Linked DNA regions of Arabidopsis thaliana. The protein of the gene in region 1 interacts with the protein of each later gene in a pairwise test. Each region holds a gene or a part of one and is shown on either strand. Other genes may lie near its edges. The genes, in order: PTAC4 and CR88.

Region 1 (7,321 bases):
AGCTATGGACAACTTCTTAAAAAATCCATTAGTTTTTAGTGAAAATCTTTACAAGGAAGTGATATACGGTTTCTTGTATAAATAAGCTCTAAAAAACTAAGAAAAAAAAAAGAATTTAACCAAAAATAAAAAAGACAGAACATATTTTTGTAACTTGGAAAAGGTAGCAACGGATGATCTAGTCCCAGCCGATAGGTGTGAATTTTTGATGACCATTCACTAAACAAGTAACAAACGTTAAAATTTTAAAATATGATGACATCAGCAGACCCAAATTTCCTAAAAGTCCTTGCAACTCTAATAAATTCCTATTTTCTGATTTTCGTTGAAGAACGTAATGTTGAAAATTCAACAAGAATTGAGTACATTGTACTCGTTTGCAACTCATTGTGTGAGGTCTCGAATCCTTTGCTCATTTTGATTTCAAATAAAGCTTTCTTTCCCTTAATTCTTAGATTTTGAGATGGGTTGGCTGAGGAAGAAGAAGAAGCCAAAATCCGATATAGCGTCCGAGAGAGGGGCCAAGTTGTTAGAAGAGCTCATCGAATGTTGCGATGGCAAATCCAATCCCATCAAATTCTTCTCTGCTGATGAGATCCTCAAAGCCACCAACGATTTCAGCGACTCTAATTTTGTTTTACGATTAGAAGTTCCCTTCAAATGGTATTCTGGTAAGAACGAGAATCATCCCATGATACTAATCAAGAAAGATGTTGGCTGGTGGAGTGGCTTGAGAGTAGATCGTTTGTGCCGCGACATAGCAGTTTCATCGATGGTGAGTGGTCACAAAAACTTCATGAAGTTGGTTGGATGTTGTCTTGAGTTAGATTATCCAGTCATGGTGTATCATAGTGTTAAGAAACATTACAAATTAGAAATAAGTGAACAGCCATGGAAAAAGAGAATGAAGATAGCAGAAGATATCGCTACTGCTTTAGCTTACCTTCACACCGCCTTCCCTAGGCCCTTTGTATATAGGATTTTGTCTCATTGGAATATCTTATTGGATGAAGATGGTGTCGCCAAGCTGACTGATTTCTCTCACTGCGTCTCAATCCCAGAAGGAGAAACATTTGTCCGGGTTGACAGAGACGTGGGATTATATAGTTACTTTGCTGATAATTACGTTAGGAGTGGCCTAGTCTCAGATAAAACAGATGTCTTTGCCTTTGGAATCTTTATGGGTCATAGGCTTCTATTAGGATACGAATACTATTTCGAGCATTATCGAGGAGAAGAAGAAGAAAGTGAAGATGGATTTGACAGTCTGATGAAAAGACATGCTCGGAATTTGCTCTCAACATTAAAGGAAGACAGACCAATGGAAGAGATTGCAGATTCAAAGATGATAGAAAAGATGGGTCAAATTTCAGAACAAGAGCGTTGTCAAATGAAAGCTTTCTTGAAGCTATCACTGAGATGCACCGGCCCTAGTGAAGAAGTTCCAACGATGGTGGAAGTGGCCAAAGAACTAAACAAGATTCAAAGATCTCTTTTTAACGACTCTTCTTCTCTTTCTTCAGGTCAAACCCAACTCGACTCTGCCCAAGACATTTCTTCCACAGTGGTCCTCTCAAATTAGACACTGCTACCAAGTATTGCCTGCCAGGTATTTCATGAAATGTTTCAATGGGTTATGTTGAGCTGGTTTCGTTTTTTCAGGAAAAAAATCGAACAATGTGCTGAAAATAACTTCGATTCTTGTTTGTATTAAAACATTATCAAGTTTCATTTTTGTTGTTGTATTTATAAATAGTGCTACGTTACTTTTGATTCATTATATTGTCCCTTAGAGTCTGTGTATGTGTGTTTGGATTTTGATGGATGCGTCTGTGTTTGTTAATTCAAGAGATATCTACTCGTGTATTATAAGGGAAAGTCTCCCAAGTCAATAACAATTCTAAAGTTTACATTGTGAGTTGGGAAACATGGTTCATTGACGTAAGTTTGCAAATTCCAGCAACTACATATGAACAATGCAATCAATATTGAACTGTGAACTCCATGATTGTTTGGTGGATTTGGACATTCACATCTATACTAAAGTGAAACATTCATGACGGTAAACTTCTCTTGGAGCTGTATCTTGCATATTAAGAATCAAAGAATATCAGTGAATTATGATCTTCATTGTCAGCTTTGTCTTTTCAAGAGTTCTGATCTTCAGCTTTGAGTAATTTCCGTTTTCAATTCCAATAAAATATGTTTTATGAAAAAATCAATGTTATTCATCGACCAAAACGACGTAGGATAGAGAAAGAAAAATGGGAACAACATCCGAGTAGCCTCCGAGACCACAAACATCCTCCAATAAGCCAAAAGAAGACGAGAGAAGGAGAAGAGTCGAAATCGCCATTGAAATGGCTCTCAAAGCTTCACCTGTTACCGGATTATTCCCTCCTCTCCGTCCTACTGCTTCTTCTTCCCCTTCGACTTCTTCTAATCGCCCTTGTTCCCTCAGGATTCTCCCTCTCAGAACATCTTTCTTCGGTAACTCAAGTGCGTCTCCTTCTTCTCTACTTCGCTTTAGGGTTTGGCTTTATCTTCATTTCACTAGCTTGCGCCTTGTTTGGATTGCTTGGAGGAAAATAGTGCAGCTATTTGCTCAAATTGGGTAACGTGATTAGTCAGAGAGAGAATTGAAGTAAAATTGGGTATTGATTGTGCTTTTTAGTGTATGATTTGTCGATTTTGTGTTTCTTGATTTAGTATAAATGAGGTTACTCTTAGTCAGTGTCTATAACTTCAGTATGCTTTGACTGTTTCACATGTCTAACATTTAGTTCTCTTGCTTTTTAGTTATGTTGTTGGTTTGATGTTTCCATGAACTTATTGTTAGACTCAATAAAGATTATTGTTTATTTTTACAAGGTGGAGCGCTGAGAGTGAATGTGTTGAGATTAGCTTGTGATAATAGACTCAGGTGCAATGGTCATGGTGCTACTATGAATCTTTTTGAACGATTTTCTAGAGTGGTCAAGGTACTTATACCCTTTCTCATTCTGTATTTGACTGTCATTATGCATTGGAGTTCATTAATCAGTTCTCTTGTTTATTTTTCATTTTAATAAGCGAAGTCATATGCAAATGCGCTCATAAGCTCTTTTGAAGACCCGGAGAAAATCCTGGAGCAAACTGTCATTGAAATGAATAGTGATTTGACAAAGATGCGTCAAGCCACTGCACAGGTGCACTTCTTACTCTTGAACAAACTTTATACATTTTCCTGTACGATATTTTTCTTCTTCATTTTTTTACTACAGCATGGTTGGCCCCTATTTATGAGATTAGCTAACTTGTGTATTATCAACGTGTCTGAAGGTTTTAGCATCACAAAAGCAGTTACAGAACAAATATAAAGCTGCACAGCAGTCTTCTGATGATTGGTATGTGTGCTTTTGCGTGGACCTTGCTTCCATACCTAAATTCTTCTCTGAGCTGATTATTCTTACATGTTACACGTTTAAATAGGTACAAAAGAGCACAACTTGCTCTTGCAAAAGGAGATGAGGATCTTGCACGTGAGGCCCTTAAACGACGAAAGTCTTTTGCTGTAGGTTATATCTATCCATTCTTTTGTCCACCAGTTTTCTGTTTCTTAAGTTTGCTTACTCCAACAAATGAAAGACCCTAATCGTTTAGCGCATCGAGCGATTTGAGGCTGATCTCTTGGTTTTCTGCAAGGTTTAGTTAGGTGGTGGTGAAAGTAAAATGGAAAAATTTAGATATCTAAGTATTCTGTAATTCTCCTCAGGACTTGCCCCCTTTTCCAATCATTTTTTGATGCAATAGAGCTTGGCAGTGTTTATAGTACTCTTTTGAAATATATTGTTTGTTGAGTTTGTTAAGGTGATTGCAGTGACAAAAGATATTTTGGATATATATAACACTACAGATGCAGCCAAAAACGACCCTTCTGTGTTTCTACATATTAGGATGTTGACTATTGTCTTTCAGTATCAGAAAAAAAAATCAAAATCAAATTTTGGTTCTATGTAGAATTTCGGAAACAGCCAAACACGATTCTTCAGTGTTTTTTACATATCAGTATCTTGGCTATCATCTTTGATGTGCTTTTGTTTGAGCAACAGACCGTATGGCTCTTTTTCAGTTTTGTTGATTTATGTATTTGTGTAACCTTTGCAAATGGCTAACGAATAATAGGCAGGTAAATTTTCACTATCTTTTACCTGCTGATACCTTATCGACTACTGAAGTCTCTTGAATACATCCATTCTCTAACTTTATAAAGTTACCTTAAAAAAAAACTAGAACTTTAGGTTTTGAAGTTATTACCTTTTTTCTTAACAGGACAACGCTACTGCTTTGAAAACTCAACTAGATCAGCAAAAAGGTGTTGTCGACAATCTTGTTTCAAATACAAGGGTTAGTTTTCACCATATTTATCTATATATTTTGTATTTTGATTTACTATACACTGTTGGAATCTTTAGAGCTATGATTAAATGAATTTATCGTCATGCATTTACTCAATAAAACAAAGAATCATGTATACATTAATTTTCGTCATGCCACCATACAATTTGAATGGTTTAGAGATAGTACCATAGTTAAATACCTCCGTCATAAGATTCATATGCCAAGTATCTCTCTTCACGTTTTGTACTAAGGAGCTATTGTATCTCTATGGACATAATGTAGAAGATATTTTAGATTAGTATCTGTATTTTCAGAGTTCTTCCATTTCCATAGCATATGATTCTTATATTTTCTGAAATTGCTTAGGGCGAAGTTTGGTTCTTAGAAAATGAGTTCTGTAATTTTTTTGTTGTTTCCCCTTTTATTTGCAGCTCTTGGAGAGTAAGATACAAGAGGCAAAAGCAAAGAAAGATACGCTCCTTGCACGTGCTCGCACTGCTAAGTTTGTATCATTTCCCTAATACTCTTCTTTATATCATTTATGGAAGCTCGTCCATACAGAGTGTTTCTTGTCGATTTATATATTGTCCCAACTCTATTTGTTTTTTTTAATTCCTGCTAGGACTGCAACCAAAGTGCAAGAGATGATAGGGACAGTAAATACAAGCGGTGCTCTTTCAGCTTTTGAGAAAATGGAGGAGAAAGGTATGATCTCTTGATCCTCCAACTTGTCTATACGCAACCAATACCAGTTAGTCCTATTATTCCTTTCTAAATTTGAAGTTTGGCCTGTAGTTAGGATTAGCATTCAGTCTTTGAAAGTGAGTTTAGATTCCACTACTTTCTCTATGTTAGCTTGTACTACTTGCCACCTAGGCGACAGGGTTACATTAGAAATAGTGCTCAGATTCTGGGCAACGTGGATGTGGAATTAGTGTTGTAGTTACCTCATGCAAAACAATAGAACAGTAATATAATGTGTGCAATGGGACATCGGAGTAAAGGATAAACTTAGCGGAATCCTTGCTTGTTTAGATACAAGAGAGAAATGCCACTGGATAACCTTTTTTCTTATTGCTATTTCTAGCAATTCGTTTAGGTTCTGGTTGATCAATGTTAGTCCGTGCAGATATACCCTCTTATTCTTTCTGTAAATCTCTGAGTTGCTAGTATCAGAATTCCGAACGTGTAATTTTTCGTTGTGAAAGACTTCACATTCTGCTTGTTGATGAATGCTCAGTCTGATAGAGACTAAAATCTAGAAAGTGCTTGACAGTTATGGCTATGGAGTCTGAAGCAGATGCACTAACTCAGATTGGAACCGATGAACTCGAGGGGAAGGTTGGTTGTCTATCTCTTGTCTTGGTATTTCTATGAGGAGAAGAATCTTTCTTTCTCTTTTAAATTTGTTTCAGAGGTAAAATCTTGCATTGATTAGGGTTCGCTGCTTTATCTAATATCTTCTACGACTGATAGGATGGTCTAATCTGGTTTACTGTTTGTTTGTTGGTAGGAGAAGAACTTGTATATCTGCAACCATCTTGACATTAACGTGTATTTCTTTGTGACTTGCAGTTTCAAATGCTTGAAACTTCATCTGTGGATGATGATCTTGCAGACTTGAAGAAAGAATTGTCTGGAAGCTCAAAGGTTTGTAAAACGTCAATCATCTTGTTAGTTCCGTAGAGTTTATAATCTCATCATTCGCGAAAATATTGTATCCACAAGCTACCATATGTCCATATTGCAAATTACCGTCCGAAGAGACTAATGGGTTCAGCAATTTGGGATGGTTCACTAAAATCAACAATTCAAACTACTCAAATTACTTCTATGTTTACCTTACTGTCTTGTTTCATGTTTGACGATAGCCTACTTTGCTACTAACATTTTACTTCACTGAGTTAAGAGTCTGTGAAACATACATCTTATAGTTATCCTCTGTTTATATGATATGGAGCAGAAAGGAGAGCTTCCTCCAGGGAGAAGCACTGTTGCAGCAAGCACGAGATACCCTTTCAAAGACTCAGAGATCGAGAATGAGTTAAACGAACTGCGAAGGAAAGCTAACGACTTTTAGATATCGGCTGTTTCCGAATTGTGACTGGGTTACATTACGTTCCTGCTGTAAACTATCTTGTGTCTTGTAGAAAGACACAAAAAGCATGTGTACTCTTAAAGTAAATATCCAGCTATCTAATCCCCATTTATAGTTGGGTTATGTACATTCAGACACTTTTGAAAGTGTGGTTTCCATTTTGACTCACTTTGTGTCAAGTGGACACGTTTTTTTATAAGCTGTTTTACTCGCATAACCCTCTATCAGCCTCTAAGGCATAAAAGAAAGAGATTCGTCGATTTAAGATAGAAATGCTCGTCTTCCATGTTGACTTGTCTTTCCAGTAAAACATGTTGCCATATTTTCCTAGATTCCTAGCCAATCGTCTTCAGAAACTACAAGGTATGTCTATGTCTAATCAACTGTACCCTCCTCATTGGATACTTAAAGAGCTTAATAATGAGGGTTTGAAATGTTACCAAAAGTTGGTTTAGCCACAAACACAATTCTGCAAGAACTCCTTGATACTGCTAGTCCTGTTTCAACTTTCAAGCAAATATATATCTGTTTATATGATGTGGAGCAATCCTCTTTTTCCGCTAACAGTAATGTTACCAAAAGCATGCTTTCAAATCATATGAACTGGGTGTCTCAGGATAATGTGGATAAAGATCCCTTAGAGATATTACTCTTAACGAAAAAGAGGCACAATTGTGGCAAGTAGGCCATATTGAGTTTAGTTTGGAAACTAGTTGTTTTTTAAATTCGGAAACTCGAACTCGAGTGAGAGATATTTCACAAAATGATTCTTATTTAGGATATCACCCTTTTTTGGACGGGTCTTGGAAAGATAGTGATAAATTCTCAGGAATATGGTGGTTC
Region 2 (7,150 bases), on another chromosome or scaffold:
GATTTAAATTTTGACCAAGAAATTTTCCATCAAATGATTGATTTGGAAATCATTTTGATTTGGAAAGTTTTAATGGACCGTTAAGATTATTAGTTTAAATAATATCCGGAAAATGTGTGATTGTACCATATTTTGATATATCGAATATTGATTTTTAAATATAATTTATTCCATATGCATAATTATGAATTATTGTAAATTCTAATCCGCTCCACTAATTAATTCGCGAGCTCTTAATATTGTTTGCCAACATAATATTTTTAATAAAAAATATGTAAAATTAATAACTATATTTTTGGTTTATTTTAGATTGATTTTTTATATTTAGTTTTTTTAAATCTTTGAAAAAACAATAAATAGGTGATAAGTATTGAATATAGTGTGTTTAAGAAATATTATTTAAATTTGAAATATAGTGTATTTAAGGAATATAGAGTGATGACCAAATTACCATAGACGATTTTGATTAATAATGTACAAAATCCAAAATTGAAAATTGATGGCAGATTAGACTATTTTTCAATTTGTATTTTCTTTTTAATAATAAGAGGATGTAAATTCAGAATATTTAATACAACTCAAATGCAAATATTTTTCAAATATTCGTAAATATTTTTGTTAAAAGCTTTTTTTGTGTAAATTCTCTAAAATTATTTTAATTATCAAAAAAAAACTACAAATACTGTATTGGATAAATCTCGTTCACGCGTGATTTAATTATGGGCTTTCATTAGGCCCATGATACTGCTAATGGAAAGATAAAGCGTTCTGTCAAAAAAAAATCACTGCAAACAAAAGAAGGTAAAAAAGGATCAATCTTGCCAAGGATCACTCTCTGCCCTCACTTCAGATGGTTCAACTACCTCTGTTTCTCCGCTTTTGTCATCTCCTTCATTCACAGTCGAGCTTTCTTCTTCTTCTTCAACTCTGCCCCATCTTCCTCCAACCGCCATTGCCATCATCTCATATATCTTGTTCCCGAGCTCGGCCGGGCTATCAGGCTGTACAACAAACACATATAAGTGAGTAAAATGGTCCAAGACTTTTACTGGGAAACAAGAAAGGTTTCAGATTTCTTACAGTGAATCCACTTGATATTATAGCAGTGTCATACAAGAGATCGACCACTCTTGTTGCTTCAGTGCTCTCTGGTGCATTCTTACAAGCAGCCTGTACCAAAAGAATACAAAAATTAATAAGGCTTTTTCGAGACAAGAGATTTCTGAGAGAATATTATACCACACACTTACGTTCAAGTCTTTGATGATGGGATGATCTGGATTGATCTCTAGTATTCTCCTACCTCTCATGAACTCCAGGCTTGAAGTGTCTCCAAGAGCCTGTGCCTTCATTAGCCTTTCACAATGAATAAGCACATAAGTCAATGAACAAGCACATAAGTTTTATGGTATGTGGATTTCAGGTTATAAAGCTTTTGCTGAAGTACTAACCTTTCCATATTAGCTGACCACCCGAATTTGCCAGAGACAAGCACACAAGGAGAAGAGCTCAAACGGTTTGAGACTTGGACTTTTGCAACTTTGTCACCGAGCTGCTGTTTTATCCAGTCACAGAGAAGGTTAAACTCTTGTTTCGCTTCCCTGTCCTTTACTTCATCTTCATCTCCTGCGAGAATGGACACGTTTTGTTACAAACAAATGGTTGAGAGAAATGTGCGGGCAGTCAGCAGTGCTAAACCATACTTACCGAGTTCCAAATCTTCTTTACTGATATCAACGAATTTCTTTTCTTTGTAGGTTTGCAAATTCTGAATAGCAACTTCATCGATTGGTTCAACCAAATATAGAACCTATAATTAACAAAAGCAAGTGGTGAGAAAGTCAAATCTAAACAGAAACTCGAAGTTGAAAAACAAGTCTTGAAGCATATACCTCGATATCTTTTTGGATTAGTTTCTCCAAGAAAGGGGCAGACTTGGCACTTTTAAGACTATCAGTTGCGAGGTAGTAGATCGCCTTTTGGTTCTCTCCCATGTTCTCGATATAATCATCCAAGCTTGTCAATTCCTCTTCATTCTTGGAACTGAAGAATCTAAGTAGCGGTGTGATACGCTTGTGGTTACCGGTGTCTTCAATACAACCCAATTTAAGGAATCTACCAAAGTTCTCCCAGAATTTCTTGTAATCCTAGAATTGTTTGTACAACATGAATATCCCTGGCTTTCAAATGAGCTCAAAACAAAATTAGGATAATGAGATACCTACCTCTTTGTTTTCACTCTCAGAGATTTCTTGTATCATGTCAAAGGTTTTTCTAATGAGCCTCTTTCTCATGATTCTTACCTGAACATTATCACGAAAGATAGTACAGTTACAATTTGTGATATTCATATATGATAAACATTTGTATCACTAACAGTTGCACCACTCACAATTCTGCTTTCTTGGAGAATTTCACGAGAAACATTAAGAGGAAGATCATCAGAGTCCACAACTCCCTTCACAAAGCTCAGATATCTCGGGAACTGCAAACAGATTAGGTAACATAGTCAGATAAAAATTGAACCACAAATCTAAAGAGATTTCTACATAAGAAAGAACCCATAAAAGACTCACAAGCTCTCCATCAAAATCGTCAGAGATAAACACACGCTTCACGTAGAGACGAATGTTCTTTGTTTTCGGGTTTGTAACATCTTCATTGTTAAGAGGACCCATCCCAGGGATGTACAAAATGCTCCTGAACTCAACCTCACCCTTTAATAATCAAGACAATACAGAGACTAGTAAGCACCAATTGAAGAATTCATAAATTGACATAAATATAGTGTATAGTGTATAAGTATAAAGACCTCAGTTGTGAAGTGTGTGTGAGCAAGTGGATCCAAGAACTCATTGAAAGCCTTTTTGTAGAACTCATTGTACTCTCCTTTTTCCACTTCCTTCGAATTGCGCATCTATTCAAAGACACAAAATAATCAGTAAACATGTTGAAAGAAAAGTACAAAACGCAGGCTAAAGCTCCAAGGCTTACCCATAGCGGTTTGGTCTCGTTGGCTAGTTCCCAATCCCAATACTTCTCAGTTTTAGTGGTCTTCTTTTTCTTTGGCTCACCCTGGAAACAAACAAGTAACAAAATCAACTCAGTAAACAAAATTCTAGAACAGTCTTTTGGTTGTGACTGTTTGATAGTTGATACACACAATTAAAACAACATAATTTTTTTACCTCTTCTCCTTCCTTAACTGGTTCGTCCTCTTCGACCTACCACAAGTTACAAATTTTAAACCATATTAGCAATGTGAATACACTAATATGATTACAAAAACAAAACTTTCATCCTCACCTCTATAGTCCTTGATTTCTCCTGCCATGTATAGATAGGAAACCCAACGAACTGAGAGTAATTCTTCACGAGGTTCTTGATCCTTGTAGACTCCGCAAATTCGTATTTATCATCCTCCTGCAGCCAGGAATAAGCAGTCAAACAAACTATAAGAGATCTGACGCATCAAATGAAAGGATGAATGAATAAAGAAAAGTACCCTCAGATACAAGGTGATTTGTGTTCCACGACGTAGAATGTTATCAGGGTCTGTTTCTTCTCTGATCAGATACGAGCTACTATCGGCAACCGATTCCCAAACATATTGCTTGTCAGATTTGGGGCTTTTGGTGGACACAACAACCTGAAAGCAAAGACAATTGTACGTCCATTCCTCGTAAGAAATACATTAACCAGAAGACACTAAAAAACAAAAGTTGAAAGTCTTCACCTTCTCAGCAACTAAGAAAGCAGAGTAAAACCCAACACCAAACTGTCCGATCAAACCGTTGTCAGCACCAAGGTCCTTGTTTTCCTGAATAAAGAGAGCAATAAAACAATGAGTCCGAAAACATGACATCAAAGATTTGCTAGCAACAGGTTTTCAAAGAGATGGAAAAAAAACCTTTAGAGCCTTCAAGAATTTCGAAGTACCACTTTGAGCAATAGTTCCAAGGCAATCAATAAGTTCTTCCTTTGTCATTCCAATACCAGTATCACTGCATATACGCATCAAACCTCTCTAAGTAAACCTGTTCTATTCAATTTTCAATACTTAAGTAAAACAAAAAATGAGAAGTCTCTCATACGTTATGGTGATGGTGCCGTTATCAGGATCAGGCTTAATCCTAATCTCAAGATCTCCACCATCTCCAAGCAAAGAAGGCTCTGTTACACTCAAGAACCTCAGCTTATCCAAAGCATCACTTGCATTACTGAACATACACAGACACATTCAAAATCAGATTTTGACAGAAACACACAAATCATTTCCAAAACAATCCATCAAAATTGACTCACCTTACAAGCTCCCTGAGAAACACCTCCTTGTGACTGTATAAGCTATGAACAATCAAATCCAACAATCTACTAACCTGTGATAAGATTTCAACAATCAAATCTTAAAACTTTATATCCCCATCAAGTTGAGAGATACCCAGAAAACAAGATTGAAACTTTAGGAGATATGAAAGAGAACCCACCTCAGCTTGGTACTCAAACTTCTCACCTGACCCTTCTTCAGTGGTCTCTTTCTCCGCCACGGCGGCGTCACACTTCACGGCGAATCGGTTACATCTCTTTTCGAGATTCCAGCTACACGAAACGCCGGTTCTTAAAGCGCCGCCGTGTGGGAGAAACGAGCTTCTCAGATGAGAGAGACGAGAAGAGACAGGAGTGATTGGAACTGAAGTCAAAGGAGATGTGTAGAGACTTCTACTCAAAGCAGGAGCCATTAGATTTGAAAGTTGTGAAGGAAAAGATTTGAGATTTTTTTACAATCTCTCAATCTCTAAAGAGAAAAGAGTTTGTAGTAGTTGAACAAAGAGTAACCTAAAAACCCTATTAAAGGTTTAAGGAGAGTGAGGTAAGAGAGGTTTCTAGAAGAAGAGCGTATAAAGAGAAGAGATGTTTAGAGATTGTGAGGTCTACGAGAAGCCATTTCATCAAAACCGTAGGATTATCCGTTTGATTTACACGCGCCTCTCCTTGAGAAATTGTAGCTGACACACACACACACACCAAATGCAAACCAAATTGAAAAAACACCTTATTGGGCCTACACGTTAACCCATAATGGGCCTATAGCCCGTATAAAGTAAAACGAAAGGTTATGGCTGGAAAATGTTTCGTATCAAATTGGCCCATATCAAGAAAGAGATCTTGAATATTTGTTTTTTTTTTTTTTTTTCGTAAATTATATATATGAAAGTTGGCCAACTCTCTTCATATGATAGACACATCATCACTTTAGCATTTGACATGTGTTTATTAAATAATTAATGTAATCTCTTCAATTTCAAATCTATAGTTTAATGATATATTTATATTTAATTTTACATATTATTTTATTATACATATTTAATTGTACTTTTACTAAATTTATTTTAATATCACATGATTTTTTAATAAAATCATTTTAATAGTTTTCTCATACTCGAAGATTTTTATGGTAATCCAAACTCAAAGTATGAGTATATTACTTAATAATTTAACTAAGTTATTCTCTTAAATTGATGTTTATATTCTCTTAAATTGATGTTTATATTCTCTTAAATTGATATTTATATAATAAATAACTGAGGGTGAAGAATATGTAAGGAGCTCCATCATTAAATTCTTAGGTTTATAGAATCCAACACTACCCTCTGTTAAATTGGTTTAAGATAAACATTGTTTAGAAATTATGTGTATGATGCATTGTTGAGAATGTGGTTAGAAAAAAATATTTTAATACTAAATGTAATTGCTTATTGCATGAGTAAATGATAAGATAAATAAAAATTATATTTAAATTAAACAATACAAAAACATCCGAAAAAACCGTGGTGTAGCGCGGATGATCACCTAATATTTCATAAAAATGAAAACATGATAGGTTTACAATCGATGATTTTCAACCTAAGCTAATGGTTCCATGGCAAAAAAAATAAAAACATGGAAGCATAAAAATAACCACATACATAGTGACATATACCAAGATAAAATGATATTAAAATTTTATTGATTTAGAAATTATGAGAAGGTGTGCACTAAATAAAATACAACAATGTTGATGCTAACGAAGATACACGATTGCTAATTATTGGAAATATCGAAACCATACGTTATAGACTCCATACCCATAACTAAATTAACCAAAACATATATAGTTACCAACTTCTCACTGTCCTCTACTTATTTTGCAACTTTTCCTTTTTTTATTACGACTATAATACAGTATGTGGGTATTGGGTATAACCTAAAAACAAAATATTTGCAATTTGGTCAAAAATTTGCAATTTCTTTTAAGAATAATAAAATGATGCAAATGATGTTTATTTGTCCTATTTTTGGATCCAAGGCAGGTATTTATGAATGGTCTACTGAACAAAAGTAATATCTGATGGAGAGCGGAAGCTAAATAACGGACGAAAACACAAAATCTCTATGAGAACTCGGATTAACGAACGGATTTTGTTTAGAACGCCGAAACTTGATGAAGAAGCAATAGAGATAAGGTCGAGATCGATAACGATATCGATGAGGTTTTGCAAATCCTCCTTGCAGGGCTTGAACACAAGCTTTTAGGGTTGAGAGTCCTCCTCTCTAGGCTTTAGACAAGCTCTCTTAAAACTCGTTTATTCAATAATCAAAAACTAATTACAATAATGAATTACATCTCTTAAAATAAGAGAAAAAGAATGGAAACCCTAGCCTAAAGAATAAGCAAACTAATATCAAATATTCAAAGCCCAAATATACATTAATTAAGTCCATATGAAACTAAACCCAAAAGTAAAGCAATAAACAATCTCCTCGGACGTGATGAATACCGGAGGAGCATTTGTCTTCAAGATACGCTGCATCAATATCAGAACAAGGTAAAAAAAGTTTTGGAAGTGTTTGAATTATAATGTTCAATAACAGATATTTACCCCCAAAAAAAAGAATAAGAACAGAAAAAAAAGACTATGTAAAATTTTTTTTTTTACATCTTTGTATCGACAAGACCCGATCAATACTCAATCCCTACTATGCGGGATTGCGGGATAACGCAACTTAGTGAAATCGAATTCCGGTGGAGAAGGCGGAATCAAATGGTTAAGTCCATTTGACTAAAAGCACATCCTCGTATGTAAGATATCTAGAGAATTCAAATTGGTAA

The links.
Region 2: the proteins of PTAC4 (region 1) and CR88 interact in a protein complementation assay, tested with the Arabidopsis thaliana proteins (one study listed by BioGRID).

Annotation. Positions count from the first base shown.
Region 1 is NC_003070.9:24,233,969-24,241,289, forward strand, and holds PTAC4 (plastid transcriptionally active 4), read left to right. Parts: upstream 1-2,119; 5' UTR 2,120-2,360; coding exon 2,361-2,499; exon of another isoform or gene 2,500-2,654; intron 2,655-2,871; coding exon 2,872-2,981; intron 2,982-3,077; coding exon 3,078-3,188; intron 3,189-3,321; coding exon 3,322-3,386; intron 3,387-3,471; coding exon 3,472-3,553; intron 3,554-4,311; coding exon 4,312-4,386; intron 4,387-4,811; coding exon 4,812-4,882; intron 4,883-5,002; coding exon 5,003-5,085; intron 5,086-5,656; coding exon 5,657-5,721; intron 5,722-5,955; coding exon 5,956-6,030; intron 6,031-6,343; coding exon 6,344-6,460; 3' UTR 6,461-6,760; downstream 6,761-7,321. Other genes in the region: AT1G65250 (Protein kinase superfamily protein), read left to right, coding at 464-1,582. UniProt on the Arabidopsis thaliana protein: Required for plastid vesicle formation and thylakoid membrane biogenesis, but not for functional assembly of thylakoid protein complexes.
Region 2 is NC_003071.7:1,279,572-1,286,721, reverse strand, and holds CR88 (Chaperone protein htpG family protein), read right to left. Parts: upstream 4,969-7,150; 5' UTR 4,740-4,968; coding exon 4,488-4,739; intron 4,380-4,487; coding exon 4,306-4,379; intron 4,221-4,305; coding exon 4,095-4,220; intron 4,005-4,094; coding exon 3,911-4,004; intron 3,821-3,910; coding exon 3,737-3,820; intron 3,650-3,736; coding exon 3,506-3,649; intron 3,424-3,505; coding exon 3,307-3,423; intron 3,225-3,306; coding exon 3,189-3,224; intron 3,076-3,188; coding exon 2,995-3,075; intron 2,918-2,994; coding exon 2,813-2,917; intron 2,718-2,812; coding exon 2,577-2,717; intron 2,486-2,576; coding exon 2,393-2,485; intron 2,304-2,392; coding exon 2,226-2,303; intron 2,148-2,225; coding exon 1,893-2,147; intron 1,811-1,892; coding exon 1,708-1,810; intron 1,627-1,707; coding exon 1,452-1,626; intron 1,357-1,451; coding exon 1,251-1,356; intron 1,171-1,250; coding exon 1,081-1,170; intron 1,002-1,080; coding exon 813-1,001; 3' UTR 578-812; and 1 more. UniProt on the Arabidopsis thaliana protein: Molecular chaperone required for chloroplast biogenesis. Essential for chloroplast biogenesis and maintenance, and thus for embryogenesis. May be involved in the disassembly of VIPP1 for thylakoid membrane formation and/or maintenance.